Linked DNA regions of Tamandua tetradactyla. The protein of the gene in region 4 interacts with the protein of the main gene of each other region in a biochemical or structural test. Links are inferred from orthologs where the notes say so. Each region holds a gene or a part of one and is shown on either strand. Other genes may lie near its edges.

Region 1 (7,020 bases), on a different chromosome or scaffold from region 4:
TTCTTTTCTTGTGAAAAATAACATACATACAAAAAAGGCAATAAATTTCAAAGCACAGCACCACAATTAGTTGTAGACTATACTTCAGAGTTTGACACTGGTTACAATATTACAATTTTAGGTTTTTACTTCTAGCTGCTCTAAGATACTGGAGACTAAAAGAGATATCAATTTAATGATTCAGCAATGATATTCATTTGTTAGATCCTGTCTCTTCTGTATGGATTCACCACTACCTTTGATCTTTCTATTTCTCTCTTTAGGGGTGTTTGAGCTATGGCCATTCTAACTTTTTTCTCTTTCTTAATTTTTATTGATAAAACAATGCACAAGCACATACATTCCCAACATACAACATTTCATACATAATGCACAATCAATAGCTCACAATATCATCACACAGTTGTATATTCATCACCATGATCATTCTTCAGAACATTTGCATCACTCCAACTAAAGAAATAAACTAACTTTTTCTGAAAAGATTAAATATACATCTACTACTATATAATCAACTTATTTCACACCAAAAGAAATGAAAGTCACACAAACACTTGCCAATCCAAATGTTCATCAACAAATGAATGGATATCCATGTGATGGATACTCAGTAGTAAAAAGGAATGAACTATTGAAACACACTACAACATGGATTTACTTCCAAGTAAGAACGCTGAGCATAAAAGCCAGACAAAAGTACACACTGTATAATACCAATCCATGTATATAAAATTCTAGGAAATGAAAAACAATGAATAGTGACAGAAAGCAGAACAGTGGATGGTGGCCTAGGAACACGCGAGGGATTATAAAGGAGCATGAGGATTAGTGGGTATGTTTGTTATGGAAATTATAGTGATGGCTTCACAAGTATATATATAAGTCAAATTTATCAACTTGTACATTTAAATATATGCAATTTATTGCATGTCATTTATCACTCAATAAAGCTGAATAAAAGTAATAAAATTTACGATAAAAAAATAACGTCAATTTTGTGTTGTGTTCATAATCTGACTTTTTAGGTTCTTTTCTATAATAGGTGAGTAATAAATATCAAGGCTGGAGGGGAGGAGAAATTATTCCCTTTAAAACTGTCATCGGTACCACTTGCTGAGCTGGTTATGCCCACACTTTCATGCTTCTAAACCAACAAGCTGGACAATGCAGGGTCTATTACTATCCAGGCCCTTACCCTACCCCCAATCTCAGTCTTTTGTCTCCTAAAGAAGCAGATCCTTACATGTCTGGAAGAGCAGACACAGGGAACAAAAGGCTCAATGACTATTTGACAGATTAAAGAATAGACAACTGTTTTATTTTAAAAATCCCTAAAGAATTAGAACATTTGATGCTATACACTGTTCTGCTGAAATGCAATTATATATTACCCAAAACTGCAGACACTTGCCAACAGACCTGTCCACGTCACTCAATTCTAGGAGCTTCGCATTTTCTTTTTTCTATTTCTTTTCTTTCCAGATCCATGAGTGAATAACTTGCAGGTGTGTTTTAACGAGACATTCCAATATTTTGAAAAGCCTCTCATTCAAAAACACCCAGCAACTTGAAAGTTTTTCAAACATCTAAGATGGTGACCATAATCAAGGAAAAGAATAGATAACTTCTATGTATGAGTTGAATAAAGAGAGTGGTAATACAAAATAGCATAATCACTATCTGAAAACAATAGGTAACACTCCCCCTTACCAACAGAATTAAGGTTTACAAATGATTAGCAATAGTTATAAAATAATAATAGTAGCATGCTGATTAACGGCGGATTCTGGCTTCATCATTACTAATTGTGCGACGTTGGGCAAGTTGTCTAACTTCTTCAGTTAGAATTAGAGTTAGAGTATTCTTCTAACTTACTACTCCTCTGTTAAACAGGAATAGTACTACCTTATAGGGCTGTTCAAAAATTAAACGTGTTAAGCTTAGAGTAAAAGCTAAATGTTAGTTTTTAGTAGTATACTGTTTACTTTCAAAAGCTCTCATTAACTCACTAATCCTCCTTCTAACCCTAGAATGACACAAATTTAGGTTCAAATCCTGCCATTTACTAGTATGTTACTTTGAGCCTGTTTCCACATACACAAAATGGGAATGATTAAACTACCTGACTTTTAAAGTTGTGCTAATCACTAAATAACTAGATAGAGCTGTCTTCCCTTCCATCTCCCAAAGCGAAGATCGCAGAGGAAGGAAATACTTCTAATAGCTACAGATACCGTCAATTTTTCCATTTCTGGCACTTGAGAGGCGGGGGGAAACAGGGATGCAAAGGTATATAACGGGGTCAGGGATACTGAGTGAAGCCCTCAAATGTACGCAGGACGCAGAGTGACCCAGAACCGCTCGACCATCGGGACCTGGCCCCCGGCAGCTCCTTCCTCACCCCTCCCGCGTACTGGGTCGACCAGCCTCCCCGAGTGAACGGGGTTATTTCGGAATCACCATGAGGCAATTCTCATGAGGCAATGGGTCAGGAATGCGGCGCCGAGCCGAGCCGCTGGAGTCGGTGGATCTTCGGGCAGCTCTACCTGCTCGCGTAGCGACAGGCATCCTCCAGGCTGCGGGAGCCGGAACTCAGGAAGGCAGGAAATGAATGGGTCCCCGAGGGGTGGGGGCGCGGAGCGGCCGGAGCCCCGGCCGGGTAAGAGCAAAAGGGTTGGGAGAGCCTGCTTCCCCAACACAGAGCCAGAGTCGGCAACCCGGCGGGGGCGCCCCCTCCCGGGCGGGGCGGACTAGCTGGAGCGGGGGCTAGGCTGAGGCCTGGAACGGGCCCCCCGGGGTTCCTCACCTCCGCGATGTCATGTTCCTCCCGCCCTCCGGCTCCGGGACGGACCCGCTCCTGCTCAGGCTCCACTGGACCCGGTCACATCGGGCTGGCCCGAGGGAGGCCCGCTCGGGACCGGACACGCGGGCAGAGCCAGCCGGCCGCGCGCAGACCCCCCTCCAGGCCTGGGGATCCCGGAGACAGTGCAGCCGCCCGGCCCCCCCACCCCACAGCCCGACTCGCTCCTCCTCCTCCCCCGCCCTTTGCCTGAGGCTCCGCCGTGACGTCACCTCGCGCGACGCCCACTGCCACTTCCTGCTTCCCGTCAGCCTAGGACTGAGCGGAGACAGGTAATGGTAGGTCGGTTAGTGCGAGGAGCCGTCGCAGAATAGTACCCAAAGCGCTCTCGAGCCCTCTAAACCTTGGCCGCCGGGCGTGAGCTCCGCGCTGGGTGTTGTACCAATTCCTATGGACCTGTTGCATCCTTTTGCATGGTGGCAGTTTCCATCCCTGCGCGCGAGACTGCCAAAATCATTCCTTAATTTCATTCCATAAATCGCCGCTCCACTTATTATCTGTGTAACCTTGGGAAAGTTATTTCATTTCTCTGTGCCTCAGTTTCCTCATCTGTAAAATTGAGGAAGTAATGATGTTTTCTTCTTAGGATTATTATGAGAATTAACCATGTAAAGTCCATAGTACTGAGTTTGCCCTGTATAGTAAGTGCTTTTTAAGTTAGCTCTTTTTATCTTTATGATTAAACATTTGTTGATTGTTTTTCAAATGCGAGGCGCTGTTTTAGACTATGAGGATATAACAGTGAATTAAAAAGGCAAAGAAAAAAACGAACTCGGCATGCTCGTGGGAGAAGATACAATAATGAAGATAAGTAAAATATAGACAGAAGTGGAGATAAAGTGATATGGAGAAAAGGCAAGGAAGGAGGAGGGGAGTATTATATTTTTAAACAGGGTGTTTAGGGGAAACTTAAGATGGCATCTGAATAAAGAGCTCTTGAAAGTAAAGGAGCAATCCCTGGGAATAACTGAAGGAAGGGCATTTCAAGCCCAGGGAGAAATGAGTTCAAAGGCCCTGAAGCAGGAGGCTGCCTCCTACATTTGAAGAACAATAAAGAGGTCTCTGTGGTTGGAGCAGATTGAAGGTGGGAAGAGTAACAGGAGATGTAGTAAAAGAGGGGTAGAGTTGGTATAGGGCCCTAGGCTAATTTAATAAGTTTGGGCTTTTTCATAATGAAATGTGAGCCTTTGAATTTTGAGCAGCGGAGGAACATAATCTATGTTTTGAAGTCTTACTTTGGATACTCTGAAGTCTAGGATCAAGGGAGTGAGGTCAGAGGGAACAGGTCAGAGGCTCCTATAGCTTTCCAGGCTGGAGATGATAGCGACTCAGAGGAAGAGAAGGTAGAGCCCTTACCTTATGAACCATATGACTGGCTAAGAGCCACAGAGCTAATAAAATAGCAGAGCTATGATTTCAATACATATCAATCTACTTCCAAAATTACCATTTTTCTCTGAGTGATGCCCATCTCACTCCTCTACAAAAAACTGCTTCAGCATTGATGTGCTATTTGCAAAATTATCTTTACAAAATTGTCTTATGTGCCTATTTCATTTAGATAATACCTGTTCAACAAGCCCCTGTTTCTAATCTCCCTAAATCTTGACCACCCTTATCTTTCCCCTACATAACCCAAACCACAAATAAATGGTTCTTAGGACTGCAGGTTTGCCCTTTCCAACGCATTCTCCACTTAATAGCCAGAGTAATCTAAAATGCAACTCCAGACACTCCCTGCACTGATTAAGTCAAACAATTTTTTGACATGGTACATGCAGTACAAGACCTAGCCTGGTCTGGTTCCTACCCTCTTCATTGCTCCCTCCTCTCCCAGCCCTTGCTTCACTATGCTGAATGACTTTCACTTCCCCTCAGAATGCCAATTTCCTAGCTCAGAGCCTTTAAATAATAGCATCCTGTCTCTGTAGGGTTCTTCCTGCCCCACCTCCCCATACATGCGTCAGATCTCAAAGAAGTCACTCCTTTGCAATAGGAAGCCTTACTTGATTTCCCAGTCCAGATTAGGAGATCCCAAAGACATCTATCCTGGCTTAGTTAAATATTGTAAATCTAAGAGGCAGTAATATGGGGATTACATTTTTGACCTGTGAAGCTCAGCCTGGCTGTGTGCCTGTGTGGCCATGGACAAATTACTTGATTGTTCTATGTCTCAGTTTGCTTCTCTGTAAAGAGGGAATCAAAAATCTACCTACCTCATAGGGTAGTTGTGAAGATTAAAAAGGTTAATGTGAAGTACTTGAGCAATGCTTGGCAAAGTAAGAATGTAACAAGTGCAAGTTATCATTTGTCTCTTCTCAAGTAAACTATAAGTTCCTTGAATACAGAAGCCATACCTCACTGGTCTCTCGTATATTCAGTACACTCTGCAGCTAAAGTGATCATTCTAGAATGCAAATCTAATCATGTCACTCCCTTGTTTTATGAAGGAGGCTCAAAGCCTTTAGCATTAAATTAAAATCCTTCCATTAGCAAGTACTGCCCTTTTGGATATGGCCTATGCCTACTTACTCAACTTCATTTATCCCCAACCCTTATTCTTATTTTTTCTCCTTTTCTTCTCTTTTTAATGTGATTTTATTGAGATACATTCACCATATTATCATCCAAATGTACAATCAATGCCCTCATATACTCCTGCAGTTTCCAAAGGCCTCCTACTGACTGTTATATCCCTGCCTTCCAAAATTTAATTCCTCTGCCTTTGCCTGGAATACCCTTCAAACCCTTCTCCATCTAGAAAACTAAATGTCATGCAAGGTTCGGCTCCAACTCAGGCACCCACTTCAGAAAACATTCTCTGCACACACACCCCTAGATCACTTGCTGAGAATATAATAGAGGCCCCCTTCTGCTCTTGGTGCAGCCTGTTTGTGCCTCTGTTGGTACCTAATACACTTCAGTGCCATTGTCTCTAGATTATGAGGCTCCTTTTAAATAAAAATGTATCATCCTTATATCCCCAGAGCCTAATGGTGCCTGGCAAATATAATAAAATGAATAAGAAATATTCATTTTTGAGATACTTTATTTGAATTCCTTTCTCAACTACAAAAGCAACACAATTTCCTTGCAACAAGCCAAATAAAAGTTATTTTGTCCCCCTTCCTCAATGTGTACATCTCTACTCCAACCCGCACCAGCACTGATGGTTTGATGAGTATCTTTCTATAGCTTTCTCTATACCTATACTCACAGTCATTCGCATACACAATATAAACAAGATTTTCTCCTGTTTTATTTTTTAAATACGCATATATCATTCACACATGATCTTTGTGATCTATTTTTCCACTTAATTATGTAAGGGACTCTCTCTATAGAGAGAGATTCTCTTACTGGACAATTCTGCTTGTCAGTAAAACTATGAGCTATATATATGATTTTAAACTTTCTAGTAGTCACATAAAAAGAAGCAGGTGAAATTTATTTGAATATATTTTATTTAACATAATATGCCAAAATATGCAACATGTACTCAATATAAAAAATTCTTATATATATATTTTTTTCTTACTAAGACTTTGAAATCCGGTGTGTATTTTGTACCTACATCACATCTCGATATGAACTAGCCATATTTTGGGTGTTCAATAGCCACATTTGGCTACTGCACTGGACACTGCAGTTCTAGACCTTCAAATTTAATTCATTCTTTCCCATAACTGCATAATATTCTGTAGTGTGGTTGCGCGTTATTTAGTCAACTATTTCTGTTTAAATGGACATCATATTAATTTCCAGGGGATTTTTGCCACTTGTTACGGTCTAGACCTATCTCTTTTAGGGTATGGGATTGAGCAGCTCCAAGACCAAAGAACACACCGGGCATGGAATTAGACATGAGTTTATTAGGACTTACGAACAGGAGACAGCAGTGGCAGTCTGAACAAACATGAATAGCGCTCTGCAATTAAGTAGGAATCAACAGGACCAGTTATAGGGGCCTGAGACAAATAGCATGGTACAGTTGGGTCTCGTGATTCAGGAGGTTTTGAGATTAGAATCAACATGTGTCAGAAGGATCTTTAGGCTGTAATTCTAAGATAATAGTACTACAACAGCATAGATATAGAAAAACGGTAAATTATCATCAAAGAAGTTTCTGCAGGTCTGTTTAATGTATAACTAAGATAAGT
Region 2 (7,654 bases), on a different chromosome or scaffold from region 4:
TGGATGCTATTATCACACCCACATGGCAAATGAGGAAACTGAGGCTGGGTCGGTTAAAGAACATCCTCTCAGCCAGGAAACCCTTCCAGCTCTCTCATCATCTCACCCTGCCTGGGTCTTCTGGACTCTCCTCCCAAAGGTTCAGGGGACCCCAGGATTGTGGGAGGTGCTTAAGGGTGCTGATGAAGGAACATTCCGGAACCGGGAACAACAAGGTAACAATGACGAGAGTCACACCACCACCTAGAACTGAACCCCTTTTGCTCTGTACCAGGCAGTAGGTGCCTTTCGCACACAGGCTCATCCAATCTCTATCACCAACCTGTCATCACCCTCATCCTACATATAGGAAATGGGAGGCTCACAAGTACCACCTGCCCCAGCTGGAAAGAGGCAGCGAAGATTCGAACCTAAGCCTCCAAGACCCTCCACTGGTCACTGATACTTCTCTTTCCAGTCTGCAGCATTCGTAACCCCCGGGAACACACAGAAGTTCTAGGAATGTTCACCCTTTGGCTCAGAAGGTTCCCTTCCTACTCGCCCCCCTCCCCAAGAGAAGTTGTGGGAAGGGGCTCAGAAAAAAGCTGTTAAAAACACTTCCAACTTCCCCGACAGCCCCTGGCCTCTCATCCCGATCCCCCCACCCCCACCCCAGAGGGCTCTGCCTGCTCTCACCCCATTAGAGCCGGGTCTCAGGACGCGGCAGGCCCCGGGAAGCCTCATGAGGGTCTCTGCTCGGGCAGCCAGGTCCGTGATGAGAAATCCACACACGATACTCACTGCATCCCTGGAGGCCCGCCACCCAGGGAGGGGCCCGAGGGCGGAATGGCCACCCCAGCTGGGCCTGGCAGGTGATGCTCATCTCCCAGGTGAGGGGGGTGTGAGGGTCAGATCTCAGCCCCTCTCGCCTCCCTCCCCTCGGCCCTGCAGACCTCACCTAGCCGTGCACTCTGCGCCAAGCCCCCATCCACCCAGCGCCTGATTTCACTTCCTCCCACCCGGCCTGGCCTGGCCGTGCGCCTCCCTGGAGGTCCCCCAGCTGCAAGCAATGACCTCCTCACCTACATCATCGTGGCCGGGGAATGGGGAAGAGAAACGGGAGAATGAGGAAACTAAAGAGAAAAAAAGAAGCGGGACAAGCAGGCAGAGCCCCCTCCCCAGTTCCTCAAATGCAGCCTCTCCCCCGCAGAGCCCCCCTGACCAGGGGGAGGGAAGGGAGGGGATTTCTGCACCAGACATCCGAGGCCTCTGAAATACCCTGGCAGTGAGCTGACCTATAAGGTCAACATCCCCTCCCCGCCCCCATGCTGGGTGTGTGTGCGCGGGATTCCCCGGGAGCTCCATGTCAGCAGGGTGAGGGGACCAGCCCAAGGAGACCAGGTTCTGGTCCCAACCCTGCCCAAAGCCAAAGTTCAGTGGCGGGTGGGCTCTTGGCCCGGCGCACCCGGCAGCGCAGGGCTTGCGGGGAGGGGCGCTGCCCTCTTTGCCACATGGCCTTGAGGACTGGGGAGGAGCCCCACTCAGGGAGGACTCGTGCGTTCTCACAGCTTCGGTTTGACTACTTTCACTTTCAAGCGACCAGGTGGTGACCCCCCCGCCCCGCCCCCAGAGGGCCCAGGTGACCCGGGTGCTGTGGTGCCTGCCTGGCTGGGCTACCTCTGGAGCGCGCTGGGGCTGCCAGCCATCCCCTCGCTCCCGCTCCCCACGGCCTCCTTCCGTCCCCAACACGTGTGTGGGTGGGGGTGTCCGCTAAGTGGTGTCGCAGGAGCTGGGGAAGGGGCAGCCCCGGACACCTGCGTCCGAGTCGGCAGCAGGGCATATCCGAGGCTGTGGTGGGGGCGCAGAGGCAGGGCACAACTGGTCACGGGCCTCCTCCCAGCCCCGAAGGAGGGGAGCGCCGGGAAGGGCGCGTTTACCTGTGAGAGAGGGGGTCCGGGCCCGGCCGGCCCATGGCGTCGCGCGCCCCCGGCCCCCCGAAGTCCCGAGGGGGCGGGCGGGCCCCCGCCCCGGGCGCGTCCTCTCCCGCACGCCGGCTCCTCGCTCGCGGCTCTCTGGAGCTGGGCTCAGGCAGGAAACCCGGGCTCGGAAAATGGCCAGCGCCTCATCATTTCCGCCGCCAGCGCTTGACAGTTGCGGGAGGATGCGCCCCCGGGCCGCCGCCAGGGAAACTTTGCTGCTGCCGCCGTCGCCACGGCGGGCCGCGACAGTCCAGGCGGGCGGCCGGGCGGAGGCGGTGGCCCGAGCCCATGCCGCCCCGCGCCGTTATGTAAAGAGGAACCCGCCGTGCAAGCCCAGCCGGGCGGGGGTAGGCGGCCGGCTCGGGGGCGGGGCCGGAGAAGGGGGCGGAGCCATGCCCGGCCACGCCCAGCCCGCCCGCGAACCGCAGTCTCCCTCAGCCAGAGGGGCGGGCCTGGGAGGGCGGAGCCGAACCCTTTCCCGCCCACCAACCCTGCTCCTTCCCGGCCGGCCAGGTCCTGGGGTCTCGAGGCGTGGCCCGAAGGGGGCGGGGCCCTGTCTAGCCACGCCCACCGCTCGCCCACCCGCTTCGGTTTGCACAGCCCGAGGGGAGGAGGGGCGGAGAACCCGTGGCCCCACCCACCCAGCCTCCTGCAGGCCGCAGGGGGCCTCGGCGCTGCGGGGGCGGGGCCAGGTGGAGGGAAGGGGCCTAGGGGTGCGGCCCCGCGGAGACGCTCGGCCTCGAGGGGGCGCGCCCCGGCCGACTCCCTCCTCCAGGGCGTTATCGCCGCGCGCCGGGCCTGTGGGTGCAATAGCAGCCGCGCCTTTCATCATTGCGCGGGGCTGGGAGCCCGACCCCGCCCCGCCCCGACTCCCCGCGACCCTGCCGAGCCGACCCGCCCCGGCGCCCCGGCGCCCCGGCCCCCCAGCCCGGCTCTGCTCCGGCCGCCACCGGCGCCCACGAAGACCAACCTGGAGCCTCCGTCCGGGAGGGAGCCAACTTTCCCTAGAAAGCCTTGTAGGACTGTTAGCCCCCTGCCCTCTGGGACTCCCACTGGCCTCACCTCCCCGCTGCTTTCATTTTCTATTCGGGGTTCCCCCTGATTGGGGTGCGGACAGGCTCTCAGGCAGCCCTCCCCAGCACGCGGGAGGGAGGGGGGAGGGGAACGTCTGCCTTTCTCACCCTCCCCAAGCAGGAAACGAGCCGCTCACGTCCCGCAGCCCGAAGGGGCCACCTCATGGCTTCCCAGATAGTGCTCTCCGCCGCCGCCCCCCCTCCACGGCCTCCCCCTCTTACTAACCTTGGGCAAACGACAAGACCTCAATTTCCGCATCTGCGAACTGGAAACAATAAGGGTCTCCATTACCCTGGGTTGTCCAGTGGATTAAATGAGTTCATGGGTGTAAAGCAATTAGCATGGGGTCGGCTGGAGGGCAAAGCAGGTGTTGAGGCCTGGACCTGGGCCTCCAGGCAGGAGCTTCCCGCCTCCACCTGGATGGGGACCTGGGGCTGGTCTCCTGTCAGCCTCGAAGGAAACAGCGGGGAGGACTGGGAGTTCCTGCTTTCCCTAAACGTGTACTGGATGCCTTCTGTGGGCAAGGACCTGTTCTGGGTGCTGGGGCCATGGCAGGGACCACGACAGACAAACATCCCTGCCCTCGTGTGGCTGACATGTTAGTGAAGAAACAGCAGGGACAAATAAGTAAACAAGGCATTTATTATGAAGACAGCAGAACAGTTCTGGGATGCAGAGTGTCTTAGACTGGACACCCTCTGAGGGCCAGGAGGTCCTCTCTGAAGAACTAACATTTGCAGAGAAACCCCCCTCCAGGAGAAAGATCCAGATACGGTAAGATCTGAGGTAAGACCAGGGGAGCAGCAAGGACAAAGGTCCTGAGGTAGGAATAAGATTGGTGCATTTGAGGAAAGTCAAGAAAGTAGTGGTAATACCTAGAGAGACAGACGGGAAGAGTTGAAGTTGGAAACGTGGATCCATCCTGTGGGGGCTTGAAGGGCCCAGTGGCGAGTTTGAGAATTATCTTGAGGGTAATGGGGAGCCACAGATGATTTTGAGCAAGGGAAGGACCTGCTGGGCTTTGGATTTAAGCTGCAAAACCTAGAGTTGGCAACTTGCTTAGGAGGTATCCCTGTGATGCTCACACAGCATTTAAGGATTAGGGCGGGGTGCTGGGAGATGACATAAGGCAAGCCTAAACTCATCACCCCATGTTATTATCTCTTTATGACACCCAGGGAGACTGAGGCCCAGAGACAGCAATTTCTTATCTGTATCACACAGCTGCCAGGTGGCGCCAACAGAGCACCCTGGCCCAGGTACAGAGCCCCTGCCAAATGGTTGCTGAAATCTGCCAGCCACAAGCACTTTCCCTCTCGCTGGCCAGACAGCAGCTCTGCTGACTTAGACGGGGCCTTGTGGTTCTTCTCCTTTTTAATCACTGTTCAAGTCTCTGCTCGCTGCCAGATTTCTCTGAAGCCCAAACTGGTTTCCTTCCTCGCTTGGTTTCTTGCCCAGCGTCTCCTCCGGAGTCCAGTTTCTTGTTTCAAGGCTCACCCCGATTTCTAGACTTCTCACTTTTTGTTGGTTTTTCTTAGAAAAGGGTTACAACCAATACTCTTTCCCACCGCCTTGCCTTCAACTCGAGAGCATGGTGGCTCAGACGCAGCGATTTCATTTCATCTTCTCCACAGGGCAGCTCCCCCAACATCACAGGTCCCCAAGGCCCAAAGAGTGAGGTTCATTTGAATTCCTGCCACAGATTCGCAGCCTCCCCGCCTTGCCCCCCAGGACAAGCAAAACCACCTTGGGGGGCATGTCCCACTGGCCTTCCTTCCTTCCTAAGGTGAAAACCTGGAAGCAGTAAGCAAGCACCTGCTGCTGGCCAGGTTCAGATGCCAGAGACGTGGCCCAGAGTATCAGAAGACAGTTAATGGGTTCAGGAGTCATCATAAAAGGGTGAATAACAATAAATATTATAACAAGAATGGCCAGGCCTAATTAAGAATAACAGTAATGATCAACTATTACAGGAGTAATTAAAATTAAATAATGGGATATTACTAAAATTAATAAATTAATATGATATCTAGTAACAGGTCTAGGATTCATAATAATAGTAGTTAATGATTATAGGATTAATAATCAATATAAAATAATAACTGGATGTGAATAAGTAATGATAATAAATATAATAATAGTTAAGAGATCTAGGATTAATAAAATGACTTAATAGCTACAGGAGTAATAATTATATAACAATAGGCTAAAATAGCATGAGCAAGAATAAAGGTAAAAATTCAAGAATTATAATAGTAAACAAATCTAGGATTAACAAAATGATGAACCGTTTTGGCTCTGACCAGTGGAACTTTCTATGAAAGTGGAAATGCTCTCTCTGCACTGCTTCATAAGGTCACGGCTAGCCATATGTGGCTCTTGAGCACTCAAACCGTGGCTGGTGCCACTGAGGAACTGAATTTGTAATTTCATTTAATGTTACTCAATTGAAATTTAAATAGCCACCCTCAGCTGGTAGCTACTGCACAGGACTGTGCAAGTCTGGGCATTTTCCGTATGCTGGCTCATTCTACCCTCACAACAGCCCTGGGGCAGGTCCTCCTGTGACTAGCCCCATTTTACAAAGGAAGAACCTGAAAGGTTAAGTCACTCACCCTGATGAGAGGCTCTCCCCACCTCAAGCACAGGGCTTCATGGTCTGAGGGGCCCCATAAGTAAGGACGAAAGCTCTGGGGTTACCCGGAGAGGTTGGAAATTCTCTGTTCTTCATCCTTCCAGAATGTGGTTATGTAGACACCCCCCGCCCCGGGGGGACTCCAGTTTTCTCACCTGTGAAATGGGAACAAACACAGTGTTAACCCCACTGGGTGGAGGGGGAGGAGAATGTGATGAGAAAACACAGGTTAAGGGTTTGGGGGTATGTGGGGTGGGGTGCTTCCACTTAGCACACATGCTCAATAAAGAATGGTGATTAAAAATTGGGCAGGAAAAGTCCCCTTTGGGAATGGTGAGAACGGGGGAAAATTCAGCCTCCCCAAGTTGAATTCTTGATATTCTCACAAGCAGTGTGGACAATCAAAGCTATAGGCTGAGCCCCCAGTCTTGGGGTTTGTTCATATGAAACTTAACCCCACAAAGGATAGGTCAAGTCTACTTAAAATTAGGCATAAGAGTCACCCCCAAGAGAACCTCTTTTGTTGCTCAGATGTGGCCTCTCTCTCCAGTCAACACAAAAGCAAACTCACCACCCTCCCCCTGTCTATGTGGGACATGACTCCCAGGGGTGTGGACCTTCCTGGCAACGTGGGACAGAAATCCTAGAATGAGCTGAGACTCAGCATCAAGGGATTGAGAAAACCTTCTCGACCAAAAGGGAGCAGAGTGAAATGAGACAAAGTGTCAATGGCTGAGAGATTTCAGAGTGGAGAGGTTATCCTGGAGGTTATTCTTAGGCATTAAATAGAAATCACCTTGTTAGTCAAGATGTAGTGGAGAGACTGGAGGGAACTGCCTGAAAATGTAGCGCTGTGTTCCAGTAGCCATGTTTCTTGAAGATGACTGTATAATGATATAGCTTTTACAATGTGACTGTGTGATTGTAAAAACCTTGTGTCTGATGCTCCTTTTATCTAACATGTCAACAGACGAGTAAAACATATGGAATAAAGATGAATAATAGGGGGAACAAATATTAAAATAAATTTAGAGTGAAATGCTGGTGATCGGTGAGGGGGAGGGGTATGGTATGTATGAATTTTTTTTCTGTTTTCTTTTTATTTCTTTTTCTGAATAGATGCAAATGTTCCAAGAAGTGATCATGATGATGAATATGCAACTATGTGATGATATTGTGAATTACTGCTTATATATATAGAACGGAATGATCAAAAGTTACAAATGTTTGTGTTTGCTGTTTTTTGGTATTTTTTTTAAAATATTTTAATTAATAAAAACAAATTGGGCAGGAGAGTCCTTTGTCCTTCAAAGGATAACTGGGAAGAGTGGTGGCTCCAGAGGTGAGACCTACGGGGAAAAGACCTTCACAGCCATTTGACAGATGAGGTGGAATCCATGCTGCCGTGAGTGGAGGCCGGTGTGCACACTGTAAACCATGTTTCTGCGGGCCTGTGCTCGGCCTCTCGGGACGAAAGCATGGTCCACAGGTGACAGGGAGGCCTGGGACATAGGCTGCCTCCCCCCCCGCACCACCCCCCACAACTGGACAATGGCTGGTTCTAGAGTTTTCTAGGCCTGGGTTCCAATCCTGCCACTGTCACTTCTTGCTGTGCAACCACCAGCAAGAGACTCCTGCTCTCTGAGCCTCAGTGTCCCCATCTGTAAAATGGACATAGTAGTAGTGGGTGAAGGGAAATGAAATTGTGTTGGAGTGAATGCTCTGCATGCTGAATGTTATCAAGGGGTACCTCTGGGGCACAGCTCAGCTCCTTCTTGTTCCCAATTCAGGGCTCTGGCACTTACTGTTCCATCTGGCCAGAATGCCCCCCCCCCTTTCTTCACTCCATTCACTCCTCAGAGGTCCCTGACCACAGATCCTAAAGCAGCCCCTCTGTACCGTCGTCACTCTGCGTCTATCCTTGGACTCTCCTTTTTCTTCCTCTGCTTGCCCCCTGCCGACTTTATACTATGAAAATCTGCCTATG
Region 3 (7,626 bases), on a different chromosome or scaffold from region 4:
CAGTACATTTAATAGAAAATACTTCATTGCAGTTTTTTTAAAAAATAGTTTTACCACTCAAGTTTGCATTCCTAGACACCATAGCTTAGTACTGCTCTATAAAAATTTTTTATATAAAGCTTCTTTCTCAATACAACAGTAATAGAAATTAATGAATGATACCGACATTGAACAGACTCACTAGAGAGTTAAATATATTTATAAAGAAAAATTACCCCTATAATAAAGTATTTACTGACCCAAATGATCCAAATTGAAACTCTGAATAAAGGAGTCTAACACCATGGTGGTTAATATTTCAGTTGTAGAAGATTATTGTTATTATTTTAGCATATTTATTCTTTTAACATTGTATACTTTGAGGGGGATTTATTTACATAGACTTAATTTTTCATCTTAAGAATTTCCTGAATAAAAAGAAAAACTTCAACCATATATTATTATACTTTAGCCATAAGACAAATTCCACCTATCTCAGGAAGATAGAGCAAAGCTGTAATTTCACTTTTGATTAAACAGAGAGGAGTCAATTTTGTGGTTTATGAAGTCAGCAAACATACTGCTCTAACATTATGTTGGTTACAGCAGAGTATATATGTTTTAAGAGTTCTTTTATCTACTATCTGAGAAACATGGACATGAAATGTCTTGTAGTTCAATTCAGATCAAAGGCCACATTTTTTTTCAAGTTTGGGACCCTACAAATTGTCAGCCAGCATTTAAAATCTCCATTGATATTTCACTAATGTCCAAAAGTTAAACTACAATTTCCTTTTCTTAAATGGCAACTATGGCAAGGGTCTCGCACATTTGTAAAAAATACATATAATATGTAGAACGGAATGATTAAAAGTTACGAATGTTTGTGTTTGTTTGGTGTTTTTTGGTATTTAAAATAAAATAAAATAAAAGGTCTGAAGCAAATCTGAAAATAATAAAAAAGTAAAGAGGTAGAAGTAAAAAAATACATATAAATGGCTTAGTGAAATACCACTTTTTAATAGTGTACTAAATGAAAATCCTATGTGACACAAAAAAGGTCCTTGGTTTCTTCTAATACAAGACATTCCTCATTACCTGCCCATTCCAAATGGTTACTGTCTACTGTGGGACAAGCATCGTGCTACTTAAGATAATATTCGCTATGCACTTTGCCTTGAACGCATACAATTATACGTGTACATTTCTTAACATTTTTCTTACTGTGCAATTTAACTAGAGAAATTTAACAGGACAGTTTAAATACATTTGTAATCATAAAATACCTTTGCTGTGTAATCCCAATTAGAATGCACGAAAATGCAAAATATACATGTGAAATCCTGTATATGTACATTTTCACATATACAGTAGAACATATGTGTCTAATGTCACGGACATAAAGTTGAGGTCCTATTAGAGACTTAATTCTTCATTTTCTCACTTTAATAATTTGCCACTTATCAACCCTGTTATCTAATGCTTATTTCAATTAATTATGCACAAACTAATCAGTCACAACTAAACTATGTTGTGCCTCACTCACTACAAAGCAAAAACAGTCCCTACACCAGACTAGAATTTCGAAGATCTACTTAAAACGACGCTGTCCCAAGTCCAATAAAGCAAAAGCTGGAGGCAGTGATTATAATTCAGAAGAAAACAAACTTTAATACAAAATTTTGTTACACATGCGGACAGAAGACCAAACTAAACGCGAGGCGGAGTGGCAAAAGACTGTAAAACCTGGGTGCTGAATGGCATATTTCCTCCCCCAACCCCCAACCCAAAACAAAGAAAAACTTTAACATGTTGCGGTTTTCAATCAAACCAAGAGGAGTGAGAGGCTCGCCCGCTCGTCCCGCACCGCCCGTCCTCGCTCCCAGCGCAGGGGCCGCCCGGCGCCAGCCAACGCGGATCCCAGCCTCTGGGGCAGAAAGGGGCTTCCCCCAGCCCCGATCGACCTCGGCCGTGGGGGCTGAGATTCACCTCGCTCCCCCCCCACACCTCGCCGGTGGCCCGCATGACACGAAAGACCCGGGGAAGGGGGCTCCAGCACTCCAAGACCTTCAGTCGGACTTGGGCGGGGCCGGACGGGGCGGAGTCCGGGTCAGGGGCGAGCAGGTAGTGCGGAAAGGGAGACACGCCCGCCGCGCGAGCCGGGCCGCAGGAGGGAAGTTTCTCACCAACTTCCCGACTCGGAGCAGGCTGAGGTGGGAAGGGTAGCGGCGGACGGGCGGGCGGGCGCGGGGCCTAGCGCTCCCTGGCTTAGGGTCGACAGCCCAGTCCTTACCTGTTCCCTGGCCGCGATCGCAGGAGCCGCTGCCGCGGCAGCTCAGGTGGAGGGGAGGGGGCGGCGGGCGGCGGGCAGCGGCGAGGCCCGCGGGGCCCTCTGCCTCCTCCTCCACCTCCGCGTCCGGGGGCGCCCGGCAGCGGCGACGACGGCAGAGCCGGACCCGGACTCGTTACTTCGGGAGGAGGGAATTCCCGGGCTCCCCACCCCTCGGCCTCTCGCCCCGCCTCCGCGCTCTCCCCGCCCTCACGGCGGCTCCGCCCCTCAGTCCGCGGCGGGGCGGGCGGGGCTGCGACTACCTGCGCGCGCGTCCGACTCACCGGAACTCGCGCTGCGGGCCGGTCCGAGAGGGCCTTCTCCCGTCGCGCGCTGCGTCCCAGTCACTGCTCCCGGCCCAACATGGCGGCGGGGTCCGGGCGGATTCCCGAGGCGGAGTTGGCCGAGGGGCCGCGAGGAGGAGGTGCCTCTCCACCCCGCAGAGCGGCGCCCCTACGGACCCTGGGGCCCGCCGATCGGCTGCCGCGGGGGAGCAAATGGCAGCACAGATTTCAGCCTCCTCTGGCTCTCTTTTCAGTTTGTCCCTCTCTCTGTAGTGCCGAGGGCTCTGGGATTGTGTTTGTTTCTGTGGCGGAGGACAGGATTGAGAGTTTTGGGGGCTGGTTCTTTGCTTCTCAGTACTATGCTTCCGCACCCTTTGTCGCTGATAGTAAAATCTCAGCCCACCGCAGGAGCCGGGGGGGGGGGGGGCGGGGGACGGGGCGTTACTAAAGGCTCGTCACCGTCCTGGTCGCCGTCCAAAAACGTTCGAGGCTGGCCTTGCTCCGACTTCGGGATCCTGTCTCCTGCCCCTGGAGCTTCCTGTTGACTGTAGGGCGGTCCCCCTTTTAGGAGCGGGGAACCGAAGTCCGGGTCCCTTGGGCGACTCTCCTGGTAACGGTGGCTTCGGCTTATTGGGGGACAAGGTCTTATTTGATCCTCGCAACAACTCAGCGAGGGAACTGGGGCAGTGATTCTGTTTTATATTTCTGAAAATCGAGTCACGGCCGAGATCGTGTTCGTCTGAATCCCAGTACCTTTCCTGTTGGCCTTGCAGCCAGTCGCTGGAGAAAGGGGAGGATCCAGAAGGAAGTGGGATAAAGAGGAGAGTTAGTCAAGGTCGGAATGGGCTGAACATTGAGGCTCTTTCTGCTGCAGTCACTCCGTACATGAACTTCCTCTTTGTATTTCCTCTTTGGTGGGGTTATCAGGATTATTAATGTGGGACTGTTGGTTTCCTTTGTCTCTGATTTTTTTTTTTTAACCGAAATTCGCATCTTCCGCAAGCACCCACGAAATAACATACGTGTCAGTGTTATGGTATTCTAGGAACTTAAGAAAATGTTTTCTCAGCTCACAAGATGAACCGAGAGGAGAGTAGCATAAGCATTCACATTAACGAAAAAGTGCACACATAACGTGGAACAGTGCTTTTATTTAGCTACTAAAAATTCATTTCACTGTCGGCTTTTCTGGATATAGGTTATCTTCTATTTTTTCTTTCTCTCATATAGATTTATATTTCACTTTTCTTTAACAATGAAAATACATTCCTTGAACTGGGTTTAACTTATAAATAAAATAAAGGTATTATTTTTGTTTCCCTCAACTCTCAGGCTAAAAAAAAAAAAAGATTACCTATAAAATACTATATTCTGCAGTCTGAGTGAGGTTGCTTTGAAGATACTCTCTATGGAATTTTAAAGATGGGGCAAGGATGGGTTTATATTAACTTACCGAGTTCTCCTTTCCTCTTCACTCTCATTAACTTTTTATTACCTCATTCCGTTTTCTTTTTTGGAATATTCGTGGTCCAATACTTAACTTCCTGATTACTTTACTCCTATACTCAATGTCCCACTTATTTCCAGGAATATTTAAAACATTTTTTTTTTAATGAGAGAGTTTAGAACCTGAGTTTGGTATGGTAGAAGTTGTGTTGAACTCATCTGAAAATCTGCTCATTGGTGAAATGGACAGATGGAAAAGCTCACCCCCGTGTTTCCTTCCTACACAACACATAAGTAATGTGTGTGTGTGTGTGTGTTAAAGAGTGATAAGGGATAAGTTTTGGAATTCCTGGGAAAGACTGTTGGATGAAAAAGCTAGGAGAAAGCTTTAAACAAAATTAATGAACTGTGTTCTCTACAAATGTAAAACATTTTCCTTTATTTTAGTTTATCAGTACTTAAAAGTGTTTGACTAATTGGAAGTTTAAAAGGTTTGGAATTTAGCTGGGGCACATTCACTATCACCCTGCAACATGTTATTCTGCCCGGAAATGTTTTTGATTAGGATAAACCTTTCCTACCTGCTGTCAGTAATATGGTGCTGCTGCTGCTTCCTTTGTTGTGCCTAGGCCAAGGATTTTCTCTTTCTGAGGACAGGAGAAAGCCAGCAGCCCTTACAGGGTACATGCACTGTCTCTGCTCTCTAATAACCACCCCCGCCCTTCAAAATGCCTTTCTTGGAAATGCCTTACTCTGGACTTGTAATAACCACTCAGAGACCCACTTTCATGTCTACTCTGTGTATCTTCTTAGCCTTGCCTAGTCCACCTGGCCACAGCTGCTCCAAGAAGCAGTTAGGAACACTAAAGATCCCTTGAAGCAAAAATTCCAAGGGTCAGACCAAAGGAAGGTATCCCTACAGTAAACTACCAATTTCTCAGTGGTACTGACATTGCCTCAAGGAGTGAGGCTCATATCATAGTTACTACTTTTCCTCAACTGAGCAAGGGCTGCCTAAGAGAACAAATTCGCTAAGTGTGTAAGGTCATGTTGTACAATTGGTAGATGTCACAAATGGCAAAATCCTACATGAGCTTCCTCCAATTCTGGTCATCTTTTGCTGTCTCCAGCTTTTGGCTTTATCTCAACTCAGAGACTGTTCATGGTGGCTGTGGTAGAGTTAAGAGTTGAGTGGCAGAAGGTGAATGTCCTGGAGTATGGAAGCCCAGTAGCAGGAGGCAACAAGGGTCCAGTGCTGATGGTATCAGCATCCTAGGCCGACCATCCCCATGGCAGGTGTTGGACTCTGCTTTGCTTTCCTTGGTTTCTGACTGAGCCTGGTCCACCAATCTTCCTGTTGATTCTGTGAACTTCCTCCAAAAAATTTTCTTTCTAGTTCAATTAAGTAGAGCTACAGTTTCTATCCTTTGCAAAGAAGAACCTGTACTGGTAAAAGGTCACTACTTCGTCTCTGATACTTGCTGATAGTACTGTGTCAAACTTGAGTATTATGAAGGTAGCATCTTCTTATGAGGGTGGGGGAGGTGTTAGATTTTTGCAAAAGGAAGATGAAGCAGATGCACAGCAAGAAACAGGTATAAGCCTGTGGAACCCCAATTGTAAGACTCTTAGTTGCCTTGAGTCATGTCAGACCCAAACCTAGAACAGAGATGGCAAATCAGTCTCTCCTCCTGCCTGCTTTTAGGACATTGTATATCATACGCTTTTTCTCCTGGAGCACTAACTTCATCCTAAAAATCTTTTTCCACAAGATTCAGGCAACCACCCCAAAACTGGAGCTAGAATATGTTGAAGCCCATTTGTAATCTCTGCCCTCTAGGCTTGTGATTTGCTCCCAAGATCCGTATTTGCAATTCTGATAGCCATTACCAAGTGTTTGGTCTTTACTTTTCTAATACAATAACCTGATGTGTAGTTATGTCAGTGACTCTGACATTGAGTTTATGCAAGCACCGCTAAAATTGCTACCAGATTGCTACTTCCTAGAAATCTTTATGAGTAGGTTACAAAACAGTAGAGTATAACTTTGAAGGCAAGAAGTTAAAGTTGAAGTGTTTACCTACATCAAAGGTTTAGAAAAGAAACTATAATCAGGAATTCTGTTATCTTTAAGGCTAGTTGACATCAGCTCATAAAACATACAGGTTTGGTTATTAAGGAACTTTTATTTATTATTAGATGTCTTGCAAGCTAACAATAGCTGGGGTAAAAAAAATGGTTTTAGAAAATGTATGCTTTTGAAAACCTTGTTTTAATATCCTTTTTTAAAGTGAAAACTTCTTTTTGCATTTTTAGCAATATAGTTTTTTTTTCACATTTGTGTCTGAGCAAATTAAAATCTGACTTACCAGATTTTGTTATGTCATGCAAACCATAATACATTTAATCCTTTAGCAAATTATATTGTCGTCTTTGATTTATGTTATGCATAGGGCTTTTGATTACTTGAAATAGCTAATTTTTCTTCTTTCTAAGGGAATGATGTATGCCACAAATATGTAACATAATATCCATGCTTTGAGGAAATGTGTTTTAGGTCATGTGAATGACTTAATTAACCGGATTGACGAAACAGATAATAAGGTTGATGAAAATAATAACAATAGCAGCTATCTTTTATAGCACTCTCACCATGTCAAGTGTTTTACCTACATTGACTTCTCATAACCCCAGAGGTTGGTAGTATTTACAGATCGAATCCCTCAAGCTTAGAGAGGTTAAGCAACCCAGAAGTAATAAGAGGATATATTCCAAAACCTCTTCTACTGAAAGTCATGGTGATTGCAGAAAAAAAAGTTTAACAATGTTATATAAAACAGCATCTATTTCTTCAAATTCTGGAATAAAAAACATTAGTAAATTGCCTGTATAAATAAGAAATGTGAAACTCCACAATTGCTAGAAAGTTCTTTCTGAATATTACTGTTGCATCGCCTTAAAGTGGTGGGGCATACTGGTAAAGACATAAGAGACAAACCTAAAAAGAATGAATTCAATTCAGAAAAAAACAACATACATGAAAGAAAACTTTCTGGAGATCAGCATTTTGCATCTATCAAGTCAAACTTCCATTCAAGTTATATGTTTTCAAAGAACCAAATATCTGAGAAATGACTATTTGTACAGCATAAGTTATTACAACAATAAGTAATTACCAAATATAAAACATCTATGTCAAGTCCATGCTAAGGTTTACATTTTGATCTGCCAAGGCTTGCTTTTTTAAAATTCTTTCGCTTAAAAGAACTAGCCACTGTTTTTTTTCAAATTATATTTTAGCTTTTATTATCAATGTCATTTCTTTATAGTGAACTAGTCTACAACTGTTCCAAATTATTTTGAGCACTGAGTTCTCATCTTTACTTTGCATGTATGTATGTCCTATAAATAATTGAAACCATGTTTACAGAAGAAACAACAACTATACACCAAAAAAAAGAGTATATATAATAACTCTTAAATTTTAGAAGATGCTATTTAAATAATCCAAACATGACTAATTTTAAAGTAGAGATTTTTCTTTCAGAGACCTGATAATTTTGGCATAGAATTATTTCCATTAATTTT
Region 4 (7,828 bases):
CCCAAAAAAAAACTAGCCATCTTGTTCACTCCTGTATTCCCAGAACCTCCAATGCCTGGACTATATATTTTTTAATGAATCAATGTGAATCTCACTTTAAACACATTTTGGTGAGTAATGTGAAAATGGTCATACAGTTGGAAATAGGGGACCGATCTCAAGCTATCCTTACTGATTATCTTGGATAGTTTATCCTCAGCCAGTTTCTCCAGCTGGAAAATGGTTGGGACAGTAAAAAAATTACTTCTGGGGCTTGTTGATGAGGATCTGAAATGACCGGTAAAGCCCCTAGCACAAGGCCTGGCACTTGGCCCTGTAATAAGAGATTATTAAAAACTGTTATAAAAGCATTTAAGTATACGATGGTTATAAAGTCATAGAAAAAAGTGAAGTTAAGGTGGGAAAGTCCAGAATGGGATTAAATGAATTATGTGGGATCCATTTATAACATGATGTTATGATTTTCATCAGGATAATAATCTGCAATACCCTGTGTGTCTAGCTGCTGGGGAGGAATGTGACCTCACACCTGCAGGAACAAGAGGAAGGTATGATTCACCATTCCTTCCAAGTTCATCCTGCGTGGCACGGGAGCTGTAAATACTGGAAGCTGTAAATACAGGAAGAGAACCTAGTAGCTGGCACCTCTCCTAACCCTCAAAGAGAAATGTGTAGGGGAGCAGGTGGGGACTGAAGAAAAGGCAGCATAAACCACATCTCCCCGCTTTAACCAGGGGCAGATGGGTAGGGACACACCAAGTGGCCCCAGAGACCAGAAAAAGCAAGGGAATTTCAAAGCTGCGGGAAGGCATCAGGGAAAGAGTTGTGAAAAGTGCTAAATCTACACTCAAGAGTAAAGGAGAAGAATTTTGAACCAAAAGGATCCTTTTTAATGCAGATGCCTCATTGCACTCTTGAGGAAACTGGGATCCCTTGAATTTAAAGGACCTGCCCAAGGACATAGCAGGCAAAGAATGGCTGAGGAAACCCAATCAGACAAGCAGTTCAAGGCTTTTTGGCTACATCACACTGACCCCTCCTCCATTCCCCACCACAAGAGAAAGCTTTAAAATTCTCTTTACAAAAAAGTCTATTGGATCCAGCAGGAAAAATCTGAGGAAGCAGGAAACAATTGATTCACTTAATTAAAAAAAAAAAAAAATGGCAGTGAGTTCTTTCTCTTGTCCTACTCTGATCATACATCTTAACTGAAATTTAAAAGGTCAAGGCACAAAAATAAAATAACCAAGTGTCATTTTAAACTAGGCGATCAAATCGGCCACGGCATCTGGATATTCCCTCCCACCTCTCAGAGGTCCAAATGCAAGGCCTCTCTTCCCCCACAGGAAAGCTCTCACAATGCCTTACAAGACCAAGAGGGAAAAGGCAGTGTCTGGAGACTTTATGGGTAAACTGACCAGTGGTCTGCACAGGGTAACAATAAGTCACTGCGACGCTTCCTTTCGAGCCCTTACATTCCAGTTCAGACTCACTTTCTTATCCGTACATCATCAGGGTAAAGGTTTAAAAAAATGACCGGAGATAGAGGAGGGCTTCAGGGATTTGGGTGACGCTCGCGCACACCAGTGACATCCAGAAGGGAAGGGGGAGGGGGGAATCAGCCTGAGGGGACCCAGGAACCTGCGAGTCCTACACTTCACCTTCAGACCAAGTTCCCACGCGGATGTAACCGGATTTCCTCACAGCTTCAAAAATCAAGTAAGATCTACGGTAAGTTCCATTCCATCTCCAACCATCCCACGTCACGCACCCATTAAGTATAAATATTACGTGACAGGGGATGTTACGAATGTCAAAATTCCCGAGGTGAACTGGGATTTGCATTCACAGGTCGCAGACACCGAGGCGAGGGCTTCCAGAGTCTCGCTAGCCTGGTCGGGAACTCTGGCCTGGGCACACGCGGCGGCCTGGGACAGCGCTGTCGCCGTCTCTCCCGGAGCAGGAGGCAAACACAGCCCCCAAGTCGCTCTCGGAGCGTGTGGCAGGAATGAAATCGCACCGCGACAGAACTGGGCGAGCCTCCCGCACAGCATTTACAAAACCCAAAAGTCTGCAACCTAGCGGCTGCTTTCCACACGCTCTGCCCAAGTTGTCCCTGTCGCCGCCACCTCCAGGTTGTCGGGGTCCGACCCCAGAGCGCACGCCGCACGCTTCCTTTGGAAAACCATAACCCGGGGGGTGGGGGGTGGGGGGCCGGGAAGCGTCACTAAGGGCCGCGCCGCGAGCAGAGGCGGCAGCGGGCCCGTCCCCACCTCTGGGCACAAAGAGCGCCACACGTTGGAAAGGAGCAGTCGCAGAGAAAAGAGAAGGCTCTCAAACTTTGCCCTCCACGCGGCTAAGAACATGCAGGTCGGTCCTCTGATGAACCGGTCACACACACGCAACTTTTAACAAAAGGAAGCTGCGGCCGCGCCTCGCACGGTGGAGATAACGCGCTGGGTGCTAGCCTCCAAACCGTCCTCTCCTCTGCCACCCGCGCACCCTCCGCACAAAAGAAATCCCAAACTCGCGTGCAGCTCGACTGCCGTCCGCCTTCAGCCTCGCTCTTGCCCAAGTCCCCTCGCTGCCCTCATTCCCAGAAGACCCCTCAGCTCAGCGCCCCACCACGACCAGCGACTGGAGGCTCCTCGCACAGGTGAGCGAAGCAAGGCGCAGGAGAGCCCTGGGAACGCCTCGAATCTTCCCGGAGTCTCTAACACCTGGGACCAGAAGGGCCCGCGCCCACCTCTCCAGACACACCCCAGCAGCCTCAATCCCTCGGGGAACACTGGCTGCGGTGGGGGACGCGGCCAGAGTCCCCACCGCCCTTCCCCACCTGTCTGGACGCAGAGCAGGAGGAACAGCACGCAGAAAAAATCCCAAGCGCAGCGAGCGCCTCTCATCGCGGAGGCTTGGATCGGAGCTCCGTACCACGTTCCTCCTCTCGCCCAAGTGTAAGCCGCGCGGCAAAGCTGAGCCCCCAGAGCCGAGAGCTCTGAGGGGCAGCCCCTCCTCCCAGCGCCCTCCCTCTGCGCGCCGGCCACGCCCCTCCTCGCCTCCTCTCCCTCCCTCCCCCCTCGCTCTCGGCGCTTCTCAGCGTCTCTGGCCCTTGCTTTTTCGACTAGCTATCCCTGGTGGGGGGAGGGGAGGGTACGCTGGTCTACGCCCCCGGGTCTTGACCCGAGGGCCTCTGCATCTCCTTCTCTCCTCCCGCGTGATGTGGTCTGGCCGCTAAAGGTAGTGCCGAATCGAGGGTGGTGGTGTTGCCTGCGCGCTCTGAGAAGCCGGGCACCGTGCGCACATTGGAGCACCAGCTTGCCACCTGGCAGGTGTTCCCCAGACAATAAAGATTGACCGCAGCCCCTTGTGCATGCTCACGTGGGAGGGGACTGATCGCCGTTAACCCTGGAAGTGTTAATGGGACGCGAGAAGAGATTAGAAAATTGGGCAGCGGCATTCTTCTAGCGTTGCGCCTTGGCACCGCGGTAAAAGGCTTGATAGAGGGTTTAGGTAATTCTTTATGCTTAGTTTCTCCACCTGCTAGGTAACCTGTAAGAACAGTTGGTTTCTATTGGTCGACGTGGCCTCCGTCCAACAAACCCCAGCCAATACTTTCTTGGAGACTGGGGCTTTTGAGCCAAGTGGAGCCATTTCCGAAGTTTGTTTTGGGGCCTGGGTTTTTAACACCTTTTCGCCAATCGCTGCGCGAAGCCCTCTGGCCGCCTTTTTTTTTTTTTTTTTTTTTTTTTTGCCCGTGTACGGTTTCTCTGTCTTGCTAGCACAACAGTTAGAAGGCTGAGGATCCCTGCGTTCCTCTAACTTAGCTGCTCTACCCGGTACCAGGAGCGAAATAATAGTAAAATGATAATCTTTAAACCAGGTACCATTGCATAGAACGTGCTTTCCTAGCTGTTTATGGTGGCAGTCCTTGAATGAAATGTAGCGACAGTATCTGATTAGGGTTATATCGTTCTTCCTCGCCAATAGTACTTCATGCTGATATACTTATTTTAATTCTCAAGTGGCCCAATCTCACACATTAAAGGAGACCTGCCATTTGAGCCCATAGTATAAGACTGTCTCTAGGTGTGGTGAGCTTTCCTCATGCCTTCTAATAAACGAGTAAAACGCCCCTCCAGAGAGCTTAAGAGTGAAAAATAAATGGGAGGGGCCCATCAGAAAAGGGGATAGAATAATTTAGATTTACCTAGACTCTCTAAAGTATCATCCAAAATTTATAATTACCCAGATATTCAATTACTATCAAAAGCTCTATTTGATACTGAAAGGATCTAAGTTGGTTTAAGAATAATGACTTTTAACACTAACCACTTTAAAATTATCACGACTAGAGGATGATCAAATGACCAACATGTACTGCCTCTCTAAATGTATTTATCCATTAAACAAGCATTCAGTGTGTGTCTTCTGTGAAGCAGGGAGGAGCTAGGCACAGGGAGGGCAATAGTTAATAGATTCCATCCCTGCCCTCACCGTTCTGATGGGAACCTACACCCTAATCTCCTAGAAAATGGTTCAAATCTGACAGCTGTGAGAGAATGGAAACTCAAAAGGTCTCTGTTTTGCTCTGGCCCATAGACCACATTTTTTTCTTAAGATAGCAGAGATAAAAGATACCATTAGAAGCAATCAAAAGTTTCTCAAATCTTGATTTATTTCTAAAATCTATTTTGTAGTGAGAAAAAAAAAGTTTCTATGAGTTAAAATATCAACATTATGCCTGAGAGAGAAAAATTTACAATTTTCTTCTTCAGTTAACTGATCCTGGAGAGGATAACAAATCTTCAGAAGAGTGGATGAAATAAATTTAATTCTAGGCAGGAAAGATTCTATCAGGAAAAAAATCAGAATATAGGAATTATACAATGGTGAACTGTCACTCATGTTCATCCATTTATTGAGCATCTAGGTAGGCACAAGACCGACAAAAATGGAGGAGACAAAGTCCCTGCCCTGGGGGAATTCACAATCCAGCTGGGAAAATAGCCTCCCAAACAAGAAACTGTAATATCTGCTAACATGTTCAGCCAGTACACACCTATCTGGCCATATTGTTTCGTAGAATATTGAAATCTTTCTGTACTGACTGGGAAAAAGCCACTGAATTAAGCACCTCCTAAGTACCACCTACCCCCAACCTTCCCATAAGACACCCCAAATCTCCTTAGATCCAGCAATTAAAGGTCTACTGCCAGACACAGCAGCGCTTCCAGTACCTGTACCTTTAAGGTTGTTCACTATTTTTGATAATATCCCCAGCCTGCTATATACCAAGAGGAAACATATATAAAGTGCTATGACTATATTATATATAATATACATATGACTATGACTATATTATGTTAATTATATTATAGATCAGCACTCTCCAATAGAACATTTGCCATGATTGAAATGCTTTATATCTCAGGAAGGATGTACACTCATTGGTTAGTGTCCATACTGTATTTTATGATAGCTTTGGACCCCTTCATGAGTTATTCTTTGTATATATTGTTCTTTTTATAATCATATTAGTGAGGACTCTTTGCTTGATGCCCAGTGCAAACTGGGGGTAAACAAAGAACCCTTAAATCAATTGGTTCTTATAAGTGGAAAACCCAGGGATGAAAGTGCTGATTCCAGACTTTCCTAGATCCAGGGACTCATAGTCATGAGGACTTGAAAAGGTGTGTGGGTATGTTTCTCCATCCTCAACTTTTGGCAATACTTTCCTCTGTCTTGTTTCACTGTCCTCGCATGCGTTCAGGCTGGGCATTTGGCTTATCCCATATTACTACCAGTGGAAGCAGAACTTCTTTGGCCTCATAAACAGCTCCTATAAAAAGTGCTGAAACTGAGTCTCATGGACCTGACTCAAGTTATGTGCCCATCTGGGACCAGTGATGGAAGCCAGAAGGATGGAATATGATGACTGGCCTGGTCTGAGTTATGCACCCACTTCTGGAGCCAGAGGTTGGAGGTCTACTTCATCCACACCATGGGGCCTAAGAATGGGGGGAGGGGGATAATTATGTCCCCAAGAAAAAGGGAAAAGGAGGAATAATGCTGAACAAACAGAACAAAGGATGTTTATTGCAGTCTCACACAGAAAAAAATTTCTAACTTGAAAAAAGTTTTATTTCTGATCATAAAAGTAAAAATGTTTACTGTAGAAAATTTGGAAAATGCCAAAAAAATTAAAAATAACAAATCAAAGAAAGTCGATTGTGATGATAAATGCACAGCTATATGATGATATTGTGAACCATTGATTGTACACTTTGGGTGATTACATGGCATGTGAATATATAATATATCAATAAAAGATAAAATAGCAAAGCAAAGCAATATCACCCAAGATATAATCATTGAAGAGTTCATTTGGATATGTTTCTTTCTAATCTTTTTTTCTGTTTACGTGTGAGGTGGTTTTCTCCCCCTGCATAATTTAAGACCTTACTATATTTTCTGATTTTCTATCCAGTTTTTGTCAATGTTTACAAGTTTTCTTTTTTTAATTTATTAATTTATTAAACATAACATATGAATACAAACATTCTTACCACATGATCATTGCGTTCTTGATATATAATCAATAACTCACAATATCATCACATAGTTGTATATTCATCATAATGATAATTTCTTAGAACGTTTGCATCAATTCAGAAAAAGAAATAAAAAGACAACAGAAAAAAATTCATATATACCATACCCTTAACCCTCGCTTTCATTGATCACTAGAATTTCAATCTACTAAATTTATTTTAACATTTGTTCCCCTTATAATTTATTTATTTTTAATCCCTATGTTTTACTCGTCTGTCGATAAGGTAGATAAAAGGAGCATCAGGCACAAGGTTTTGACAATCACACAGTCACATTGTGAAAGCTATATCATTATACAATCATCTTTAAGAAACATGACTACTGGAACAGAGCTCCACATTTTCAGGCAGTTCCCTCCAGCCTTTCCATTACACCTTAACTAAAAAGGTAATATCTATATAATGCATAAGAATAACCTCCAGGGTAACCTCTCAACTCAGTTTGGAATTTCTCAGCCATTGACACTTTATTTTGTCTCATTTCACCCTTCCCCCTTTTGGTGGAGAAGGTTTTCTCAATCCCTTGACATTGAGTCCCACCTCATTCTATATCCACTTTTCTTACTACTTATATCATTAAGCATTGTCCCAGATCATTAAAAAATCCTTGAAAATATAATTTTGATGGCAGTATAAAGTTTAATTACATGGGTATAACATAATTCTGAATGTTTAATCATTTCTCTCTTGTTTTTATGAGTTTTTTTACTATAATAAATACTTGGTAATAAACATCTTTGTGAATAAAACCAGCCTGTCTCTGATTATTTATTTAGAATAGATTTCTAGAAGTAGAATTTCTACATCAAGGATACAGTCCTTTCAAATTCTTTCAAATGTGCAACTTAACACCATATAGAAGTCTTTTTGTCCATAAAGTTAAAGAAATGAATATATATGATCTTCATTTGAATAATTGGTACTAACAATAACCAATTTGTGAGTATAACAAATGGTGTGTATAACAATTTGTGAGTTTAATAGTTTGTGAGGCTGAAAGCAAATAATATATGGTCTTGGTTCAAGCTTTCATTCAGAATTTATTGAAAACCTTCTGTGTGCCAGATGTACTACATTAAGTGCTAGAAATACAAAGTTAGACAAGATACAGACCCAACATAGGATTTACAGTGAAAGAGACACATAAGGGGCCAAAGATTAAATTGTGGTGAGTACTGTAATGGAGCTCAGCACAGTGTGATGTGTGAACACAGAAG

What was found.
Region 1: the proteins of KIT (region 4) and PTPN11 form a complex in vitro, tested with the Homo sapiens proteins (3 studies listed by BioGRID and IntAct, with this or other methods). The link is inferred for Tamandua tetradactyla from reciprocal best matches to the Homo sapiens genes KIT and PTPN11.
Region 2: the proteins of KIT (region 4) and SH2B3 form a complex in vitro, tested with the Homo sapiens proteins (2 studies listed by BioGRID and IntAct, with this or other methods). The link is inferred for Tamandua tetradactyla from reciprocal best matches to the Homo sapiens genes KIT and SH2B3.
Region 3: the proteins of KIT (region 4) and YES1 form a complex in vitro, tested with the Homo sapiens proteins (2 studies listed by BioGRID and IntAct, with this or other methods). The link is inferred for Tamandua tetradactyla from reciprocal best matches to the Homo sapiens genes KIT and YES1.

Annotation. Positions count from the first base shown.
Region 1 is NC_135331.1:13,176,759-13,183,778, reverse strand, and holds the start of PTPN11 (tyrosine-protein phosphatase non-receptor type 11), read right to left. Parts: upstream 3,004-7,020; 5' UTR 2,821-3,003; coding exon 2,807-2,820; intron 1-2,806. UniProt on the Homo sapiens protein: Acts downstream of various receptor and cytoplasmic protein tyrosine kinases to participate in the signal transduction from the cell surface to the nucleus. Positively regulates MAPK signal transduction pathway. Dephosphorylates GAB1, ARHGAP35 and EGFR.
Region 2 is NC_135331.1:12,001,506-12,009,159, reverse strand, and holds the start of SH2B3 (SH2B adapter protein 3), read right to left. Parts: upstream 3,020-7,654; 5' UTR 2,929-3,019; intron 1-2,928. UniProt on the Homo sapiens protein: Links T-cell receptor activation signal to phospholipase C-gamma-1, GRB2 and phosphatidylinositol 3-kinase.
Region 3 is NC_135344.1:63,793,144-63,800,769, forward strand, and holds the start of YES1 (tyrosine-protein kinase Yes), read right to left. Parts: upstream 3,002-7,626; 5' UTR 2,593-3,001; intron 2,459-2,592; exon of another isoform or gene 2,273-2,458; intron 1,819-2,272; exon of another isoform or gene 1-1,818. UniProt on the Homo sapiens protein: Non-receptor protein tyrosine kinase that is involved in the regulation of cell growth and survival, apoptosis, cell-cell adhesion, cytoskeleton remodeling, and differentiation.
Region 4 is NC_135345.1:54,926,606-54,934,433, reverse strand, and holds the start of KIT (mast/stem cell growth factor receptor Kit), read right to left. Parts: upstream 3,007-7,828; 5' UTR 2,904-3,006; coding exon 2,837-2,903; intron 1,045-2,836; exon of another isoform or gene 472-1,044; intron 1-471. UniProt on the Homo sapiens protein: Tyrosine-protein kinase that acts as a cell-surface receptor for the cytokine KITLG/SCF and plays an essential role in the regulation of cell survival and proliferation, hematopoiesis, stem cell maintenance, gametogenesis, mast cell development, migration and function, and in melanogenesis.